Linked DNA regions of Callithrix jacchus. The protein of the gene in region 1 interacts with the protein of each later gene in a biochemical or structural test. Links are inferred from orthologs where the notes say so. Each region holds a gene or a part of one and is shown on either strand. Other genes may lie near its edges. The genes, in order: NHLRC1 and EPM2A.

The links.
Region 2: the proteins of NHLRC1 (region 1) and EPM2A form a complex in vitro, tested with the Homo sapiens proteins (3 studies listed by BioGRID, with this or other methods). The link is inferred for Callithrix jacchus from reciprocal best matches to the Homo sapiens genes NHLRC1 and EPM2A.

Annotation. Positions count from the first base shown.
Region 1 is NC_133505.1:12,710,366-12,714,834, forward strand, and holds NHLRC1 (E3 ubiquitin-protein ligase NHLRC1), read left to right. Parts: upstream 1-1,645; 5' UTR 1,646-1,722; coding exon 1,723-2,910; 3' UTR 2,911-3,853; downstream 3,854-4,469. UniProt on the Homo sapiens protein: E3 ubiquitin-protein ligase. Together with the phosphatase EPM2A/laforin, appears to be involved in the clearance of toxic polyglucosan and protein aggregates via multiple pathways.
Region 2 is NC_133505.1:152,513,017-152,517,450, forward strand, and holds the start of EPM2A (laforin), read right to left. Parts: upstream 3,019-4,434; 5' UTR 2,978-3,018; coding exon 2,677-2,977; intron 1-2,676. UniProt on the Homo sapiens protein: Plays an important role in preventing glycogen hyperphosphorylation and the formation of insoluble aggregates, via its activity as glycogen phosphatase, and by promoting the ubiquitination of proteins involved in glycogen metabolism via its interaction with the E3 ubiquitin ligase NHLRC1/malin.

The DNA.
Region 1 (4,469 bases):
TTTTGCAATCTACCCATCTGACAAAGGGCTAATATCCAGAATCTACAAAGAACTAAAACAGATGTACAAGCAAAAAAACAAACAAGCCCATTCAAAAGTGGGCAAAGGATATGAACAGACACTTTACAAAAGAAGGCAGACACTTTACAATATGAGGCCAACAAACTTATGAAAAAATGCTCAACATCACTCATCATTAGAGAAATGCAAATCAAAACTACATTGAGATACCATCTCACGCCAGTTAGAATGGTGATCATTAAAAAAACCTAGACACAACAGATGCTGGAAAGGATGTGGAGAAATAGGAACACTTTTACACTGTTGGTGGGAGTGTAAATTAGTTCAACCATTGTGGAAGACAGTGTGGTGATTCCTCAAGGACCTAGAAATAGAAATTTCATTTGACCCAGCAATCCCATTACCGGGTATATATCCAAAGGATTATAAATCATTCTACTGTAAGGACACATGCACATGAGTGTTCATTGCAGCACAGTTTACAATAGCAAAGACCTGGAACCAACCCAAATGCCCATCGATGATAGACTGGAGAGGGAAAATGTGGCACATATACACCATGGAGTACTATGCAGCCATAAAAAATGATAAGTTCATGTCCTTTGTAGGGACATGGATGAACCTGGAAACCATCATTCTCAGCAAACTGACACATGAACAGAAAATAAAACACAGCATGTTCTCACTCATAGGCGGGTGTCGAATAATGAGAACACATGGACACAGGGAGGGGAGCATCACACATTGAGGACTGTTGGCAGGGGCTAAGGGAGGGACAGGGGGCTGTGGGTGGTTGGGAGAAATAGCATGGGGAGAAACGCCAGATATAGGTGATGGGGAGGAAGGCAGCAAATCACACTGCCACGTGTGTACCTATGCAACAATCTTGCATGTTCTTCACATGTACCCCAAAACCTAAAACACAATAAAATATATATATATTCTTTATATATAAACTTCTTTATATATATATGTTCTATGGTAATTATTATTAACTAACAGCTTTCTTATTTCATATTAATTACTCTGCAAGACACTCCGAGCCATGGTTCCCCCATCTGACACTCATTCACCTAGTGGATGTTTTTGCTCTATAACATTCCTTCATTAATGCACAAATTCATTCTACAAGTGTGTATTCATTTAACATTGACTTAACGAGTGTGATAGAAGACACAAAAGAAAATATGCACATCTGCCTTACCTCCCTTGGAGCTTATCTTCTCTCGTGTGTCGGTGTTTTCCGGTTCAGATCATAAGCATGACGAGCTAAGGGACCATGTTTTATGCCCGGACAGCCCCAGCACCCAGCGCTGCAGATTGGAGACACTGCTAGGCACCCGGGTGGGAAGCCTGGGTTCTAGTTCTTGTTCTGCCGCCTCCAGACGGAGTAACAGGGAGCAATCCGGTTGTCCTCAGTAGATGTGTTTCCTCATCTGAAAGTGTACCCAATCCATCCATGACTGCTGTGACGATTACAGGTCTTAACGCGCATGTGGATTTGTCTTGCAAACGTCCACGACCAGGCCCCCGGGAAACAGTGCCGCGCGTGGCCACCAAGGGGCAGCAGATCGCAGTGCAGAGGCCCGCGGCGCTCGACGTCAGGGCGCACGCCCGACCCCGTGACCGTGACTGTGACCGTGACCGAGGGCGTCGCTGGGGCACAGCCGGGCGGCGCCGCGGGAGTGCGCAGGACCCGCCATGGGGGCCGAAGCCTCGGGGAGCCGGCCGGAGCTGCAGGAGCTCATGCGCGAGGCGGAGATCAGCCTGCTCGAGTGCAAGGTGTGCTTTGAGAGGTTTGGCCACCGGCAGCAGCGGCGCCCGCGCAACCTGTCCTGCGGCCACGTGGTCTGCCTGGCCTGCGTGGCCGCCCTGGCGCACCCGCGCACGCTGGCCCTCGAGTGCCCATTCTGCAGGCGAGCCTGCCGGGGCTGCGACACCAGCGACTGCTTGCCGGTGCTGCACCTCATAGAGCTCCTGGGCTCGGCGCTTCGCCAGTCCCCTGCCGCCCACCGCGCCGCCCCCAGCGCCCCCGGAGCCCTCACCTGCCACCACGCCTTCGGTGGCTGGGGGACTCTGGTCAACCCTACCGGACTGGCGCTTTGTCCCAAGACGGGGCGGGTCGTGGTGGTGCACGACGGCAAGAGGCGTGTCAAGATTTTTGACTCCGGGGGAGGATGCGCGCATCAGTTTGGAGAGAAGGGGGACGCTGCCCAAGACATTAGGTACCCTGTGGATGTCACCGTCACCAACGACTGCCATGTGGTTGTCACTGACGCGGGAGATCGCTCCATCAAAGTGTTTGATTTTTTTGGCCAGATCAAGCTTGTCATTGGAGGCCAATTCTCCTTACCATGGGGTGTGGAGACCACCCCTCAGAATGGGATTGTGGTAACTGATGCGGAGGTAGGGTCCCTGCACCTTCTGGATGTCGACTTCCCCGAAGGGGTCCTTCGGAGAACTGAAAGGTTGCAAGCTCATCTGTGCAATCCCCGTGGGGTGGCAGTGTCTTGGCTCACCGGGGCCATTGCAGTCCTGGAGCACCCCCTGGCCCTGGGGAGTGGGGTCTGCAGCACCAGGGTGAAAGTGTTTAGCTCAAGTATGCAGCTCGTTAGCCAGGTGGATACCTTTGGGCTGAGCCTCTACTTTCCCTCCAAAATAACTGCCTCAGCTGTAACCTTTGATCACCAGGGAAATGTGATTGTTGCAGATACATCTGGTCCAGCTGTCCTTTGCTTAGGAAAACCTGAGGAGTTTCCAGTACCAAAGCCCATGGTCACTCATGGTCTTTCTCATCCTGTGGCTCTTACCTTCACCAAGGAGAATTCTCTTCTTGTGCTGGACACAGCATCTCACTCTATAAAAGTCTACAAAGTTGACTGGGGGTGATGGGCTGGGTGGGGCCTTGGAATCAAAAGCACTAGTGCTGCCATTAATGAATTGTTTAACCCTGGAAAAGTCACTTAAACTCATCTATCCAAAGAGGGATAATTAAAACTGTCTGGCAGACTTACAAAGCTGGAGACAATTATTAGAGATTAAGCTACCATTTATTGAATGGATACTCTGTGCAAGGAAATTTGCAAATATTAGTTTATTTAATCCATGCTACCCAGTGAGGTAATTTTTTTTTTTTTTTTTCTGAGATAGAGTTAAGCTCTGTCACCCAGGTTGGAGGGCAGTAACATGATCACGGCTCACTACAGTTTCAACTTCCCTGGGTCAGGTGATCCTTCCACCTCAGGCTTCCAAGTAGCTGAGACCAAAGGCGTGCACTACCACACCCAGCCAATTTTTGTATTTTAGTAAAGGTGGGGTTTTACCCTGTTGCCCAGGCTGGTCTCAAACTCCTGAGCTCAGGCAATCCACCTTCCTCGGTCTCCCAAAGTACTAAGAGTACAGGCATAGCCACCTTGCACAGCCATAATTTTTATTAGTAATCTCCTTGTACAAGTGAGAAAACTGAGACCCAGAGAGCTTACGTGACTTCCCCAGGCCACAGTTACTTACTACAGTAGTCACAATTTGAATTCAATTCTGACTTCAAATAAATTGCCCTTAAATAAGATAACAGATGCGGGGAAAATGCGTAAATGTATAGTGTTGCTATATGTACTCTCTTTACAAGTAGCTAATTATTCTATCACGAGGATGTGCAAAGAGAGAGACTTTACGGAGAGTTCAGGAGAAAAAGGATTTTGTGGTGGGCATCACTTTCATTCCGCTTGCAAGTGCTCTGATGGCACATTAGATGAAGTTACTATTGATCCTGAGATACATGAATAAGAAAAACAATCGAACTACTTATTAAAAAGATAAACATGTCTTTTAATGCCTATATCTTCTCTACTATACAAACTCAGAAAATACCACTTGGTTGTTTGAGAAAGGCCTATTTTTGTTGTTGTTGTTGTTGTTGTTGTTTGTGTTGGTGGTGGTGGTGATGTGTGTGTGTGTGTGTGGGTGAGACAGAGTCTTTCTCTGTCGCCCAGGCTGGTGTGCAGTGGTGCGATCTTGGCTCACTGCAACCTTTACCTCTTGGGTTCAAGCAATTCTCTGCCTCAGCCTCCTGAGTAGCTGGGATTACAGGCACCTGTCACCATGCCCAGCTTAATTTTTTTTTTTTTTTTTTGTATTTTTAGTAGAAACAACGTTCACCATTTTGGCCAGCCTGGTCTTGAACTCCTGACCTCATGATCCACACACATTGGCCTCCCAAACTGCTGGGATTACCGGCATGAGCCACAGCACCCAGCCTAGGCCTATATTATTGCAGAACACTCTACATACTAGTGTCATATGTCCCTGTTACCTGTTTATGTTACACGTTTATGGGTTGTTTGTTTCTAGACATGGTCTTGCTCTGTCACCTGGAGTACAGTGATCACTGCTCACTACAGCCTTGACTCCCTGGGCTCAAATGATCCTCCTGCCTCAGCATCCCGAGT
Region 2 (4,434 bases), about 140 Mb from region 1:
GAGCTCACAATCTGGTAAAAGACAAAAACCAATAAATACACAAATAAATGTTGTGCATGATATCTTTTGTTTTAAACTGTACCATGCATTATTAGCTGCCTACCCAAGATCCACTTTCCTCATTTTTGGTAATCAGTACACTAAGTTTCCTCAGGAAAGGAATATGCTCACCTGAATAAAGCACTTTCCCAGTGATATGGTTTGGATTTGTGTCCCCAGTGTTGGAAGGGGAGCCTGGTGAGAGGTGAGTGAATCATGGGGGTGGACTTCCTCCTTACTGTTTTTGTGAGAGTTCTTATGAGAGCTGGTTGTTTAAAAGTGTGTAGCACTTCCTCCTTCTCTCTCTCTTCCCCCTGCTCCAACCATGTAGGAAGTGACTGCTTCCCCTTTGCCTTCTGCCATGTTTGTAAGTTTCCTGGGGCCTCCCAAGCCATGTTTCCTATATAGCCTGGAGAACCGTGACTCAATTAAACCTCTTTATAAATTACTCAGTCTTAGGCCATTCTTTATAGTAATGCAAGAGCAACTAATACAGAAAATTCGAACTGGGAAGAGGTGCATTGCTATAAAGATACCTGAAAAAGTGGAAGCAGCTTTGGAATCAGGTGTTAGGGAGAGGATGGGACAGTTTGGAGGACTCAAAGGAAGACAGGCAGATGAAGGAAAGTTTGGAACCTCCTAGCGACTTGTGAATATTTGTGACCAAAATGCTGACAATGATATGGCTGAGGCGGTCTCAGACAGAGATGAAGAACTTATTGGGAACTAGAGTAAACGTCACTCATATTATGCTTTAGCACAGAGACTGGCAACATTGCAGCCCTGCTCTAGAAATCTGTGGAAATCTAACTTGAGAAAGATGATTTAGGGTATCTGGTGGAAGAAATTTCTAAGCAGCAAAGCATTCGAGATGTGCTCTGGCTGCTTCTAACAGCATATGCTCAAATCTATGAGCAAAGAGACATACTTAAAAGGGAAGCAGAGCATAAAAGCTTGGAAAATGTGCAGCTTTGCCATGTGGTAGAAAAGAAAAATCCATTTTCAAGGAGGAACTCAAGCTGGCTGTAAAAATTTGCATAAGTAAACAGGAGTTGTATGTTAATAGCCAAGACAATGGAGAAAAGGCCTGGAAGACATTTCAGAGACCTCCATAGCAGCCCCTCTCACCACAGACCTGGAGAGAAAAGGGGATTCATGGGTCCAAGGCCCCACCGCTCTGGACAACCTCTTACTATGAATAATAGTAAGCCCCTTTAAAGGAAGGATAAACTGAAGAATAAATGCTACCAGACTAAAAGCCCAGTGGGGTACAAAAAGAGAACAAGGATAATATATAAATATATTTCAGCCAAATCTTCTTTACAGATTATTTCTACATTATTACAAGCTAAATGGTCCATTTTTTACATATCAACATCTCAAGAGACACTCATTTCGTTGACTTCAACTACTGAGTCACACCCACTCCAGTCTTCAACCTTGCACATTTCCTTTAAAGAAATGGGCTGCCTCAATTCAGACATTGTTGGTGGGAACCGATATTAGTATCACCTTTTCAGGGCATAATTTAGCAGTCCTTATTGAAGTATTAAAAAAAAAAAAAAAGACTACATTTTGACCTAATAATTTCACTTCTTTGAATCTACTCTGCAGAAACATTCCCAAATGTTCAAAGATAACCTGCAAAAGGAATTTCAATTAAGCTACTACTGTCTATAACAGAAAACTGAAAAGAACCTAAATGCACATTGGTAGATGCAGAATAATATGTTACCATTTAAAATATATATCTACATGTAAAATAAAGATGTCCCCAACATATTGTTCCGCAAGAAAAGAAAAAATTCAGAATGAGATATAATTTTTGTTAAAAAAAAAAAAGTATATGCATGTATCACATACATAAATGTATACAGGCAGTGTACTTAAGATGCGTGCAGGAAACACTAAGTTTTCACTATGTATATTTCTTTATCATCATTATTATTATTCTACAACCAGCATGTATTGTTTTAGTATTTTAAGAAGTCAGGTCAAGTCTCAATTGTCATATACCTGGGATTAAAAAAGAAAAAAATCCAATATTCAACGTCTTTCCATTAGTTCATTCTCAAAATAAGAAAAAAAAATCTATACAGTAAGTAACACGTTGCAGTCTAGGATTAGCGAAAATGCTAGTTTCGCTGGTTGGATCGTTTTTTTAGTGAACTAGGACAGGAAAATGAGGACACAGAAACCAACTAAGGCGGAGTTGGGCAGCGAAGCCGTTCGGCGGCGCGCGGCCGGGCAGCCCAGGGACCCGCGCAAGGAGGACTCGGAGGGCTAAGGGGCCCCGGGCGGGAGACGAAGGGCACCGGCCCCTGACGCAGGCGCGGTTGGAAAGAAACTGTGGACTGGGTGTGCGGAAACCAGGTCAGAGAGGCGAGCAACCAAGGGGGCGGGAAGGCGGGCGGGAGCGCTGTACGGGTCTAGGGAACCAGTAGGAAGCCGGAGGCGCGGCTGGCGGCGACACCGTAGCCCGCAGAGCAGGGTCAGCCCGGGGCGCTCGGCGAGTGCCCAGGGACGCGGGCAAGGAGCCCGGGACGCGCGCCGCGGGGGCCTGCGGGGCCCGCCCGAGGCCGAGGCCGAGCTCCCGCTCCGTGCCCGGGGCCCGGGGCCGGCGCACATTGCCAGTACCTTCCCAGGAGAGCTCTCCTCCCGGCTCCCGCTTCAGGAACTTGTACCAGAACGTGTCCACGCGTCCCGGCTCCGCCCCGTCCTGCGCCGCCTCCTCGGCCACCAGCTCCACCTCCCCAATCCAAAGGCCCGGCTCCTGCAGCGCCCGCGACCCGGCGCCCGCCGCGGTGCCCGCGGGTCTCATGAGCACGGCCCCTCCCGGCTCCCAGCGCCCCAGCTCGGGCCGCGACCCCACGACCAGCAGCTCTGGCCGGGCGCCAGCCACGGCGGGCGGCACCACCACCCCGAAGCGGAAGCGCATGGCGGGCGGCCTGCGACGCGAATCCCCGGGCCCCGAGTTTCAGCGGCCGGCAGGCGCTGCCTGAGCGCGAGGCGGCCACGGCGATTGGGCGGCGGCGCGGGAGGCCCGGGCACAGCCGGGAACACGTGCTGTTCTGCGCCTTCTTTGGGCTGCATCACGCGGCCCCCGAGCCCAGGCTGCGTCCGGGCCGGCGGGAAGGGGTCCGCCAGCCGCCTCTTTGTGCACCGCAGCCCCGCGGGCGGCTGATTTCCACTTGCGGGCGCTGGGGAAGCGGCTAGCGGAAGAAAAGGAAGAGAAAACGGGGTTCGGGAAGGGAGGAAATCTTCTAAGCCAGGCAGTCGTCCAGTCCTCTTTCCAAGAGACTGGAAATTAACTTTACGAGGATCATGAGGAAAGAAATGGCCTCCAGACAGCAGCCTCCTAATTGTGAAACGGGGGAAGATCTTGGACCGGTCTCTGGAGCGCTCCACGCCTTAACCAAGTCACTTTTCTCATGGGTCTCAGGTTCTTTATCTGTAAAATGAGGGTATAAAATAATCTTTTCAAATCCTACCGGCTCTAATGGATATCTGATTGGTGGAGACAACCCAATGGTTGCAACAACCCAGAGCTGATGCAAAACATTACATACCATTCCCCTGTCTGAAAAGCCACACGATCACCTTCTTTTTTCAAAAAGTATTATATTTTTAGTATGTGTAAAGTAAGTTTGGAGTAAATACTTTCAAGTACTTTTGAAGGTCAAAACAAAAACTAATTCTGTGACTGTAAATGTATGCATTTTTTAATGGAGTAATTATTTTTTTAAAGCCCTTTGTTTAAAATTTACTTTCAATAAGCCAGCACTAGTCTTTCAGCTTAAAACCTTTTTGGGTCAAGAAACAGAGATTTTTTTAGTTGTCTGGCCAAAACCTAAAATACTATATATCTTGGTCGGGGAACTTCAATTTGTCGCTGCCATCAGACAAATGTCCTGATAGTTTTATATTCTTTAATAAAGTTATCCTTGTATTCTTATGTTTATGTATTCGCTAACATTTAACAACATGAATCCGTGATGTGAATTAAAGACACAGGCATTTTTACCAGTATTTGGAATTTTGTGAATAGCAAGGGGTGGGGGGGGGAAAGGCCAAAGTTTTATGCGTTGAGAATATCATAAGTAAAACAGAAAGTGAAAAAAATGTAAACTACACAAACACAATCTCTTGTGGAACACCTAGAAAACTTACAATACAGTTCACTCTTGCATATTGACATTCCACTCAAAGTTTGATTGGTTGCTAAGCTTAAGGATAAACACTGTGAACAATGTGAAGACAGAAAGGCTGGCCAAACACAACTGATTGAGTAGCAAATCAGACATTATTAAATCACAGTGGCATGTGAGTCGGTTTATGCAAATTGCTGTTACAAGATATTCTTAGAGTAAGTTTAGAAAAGTGAGAGTCATTTGG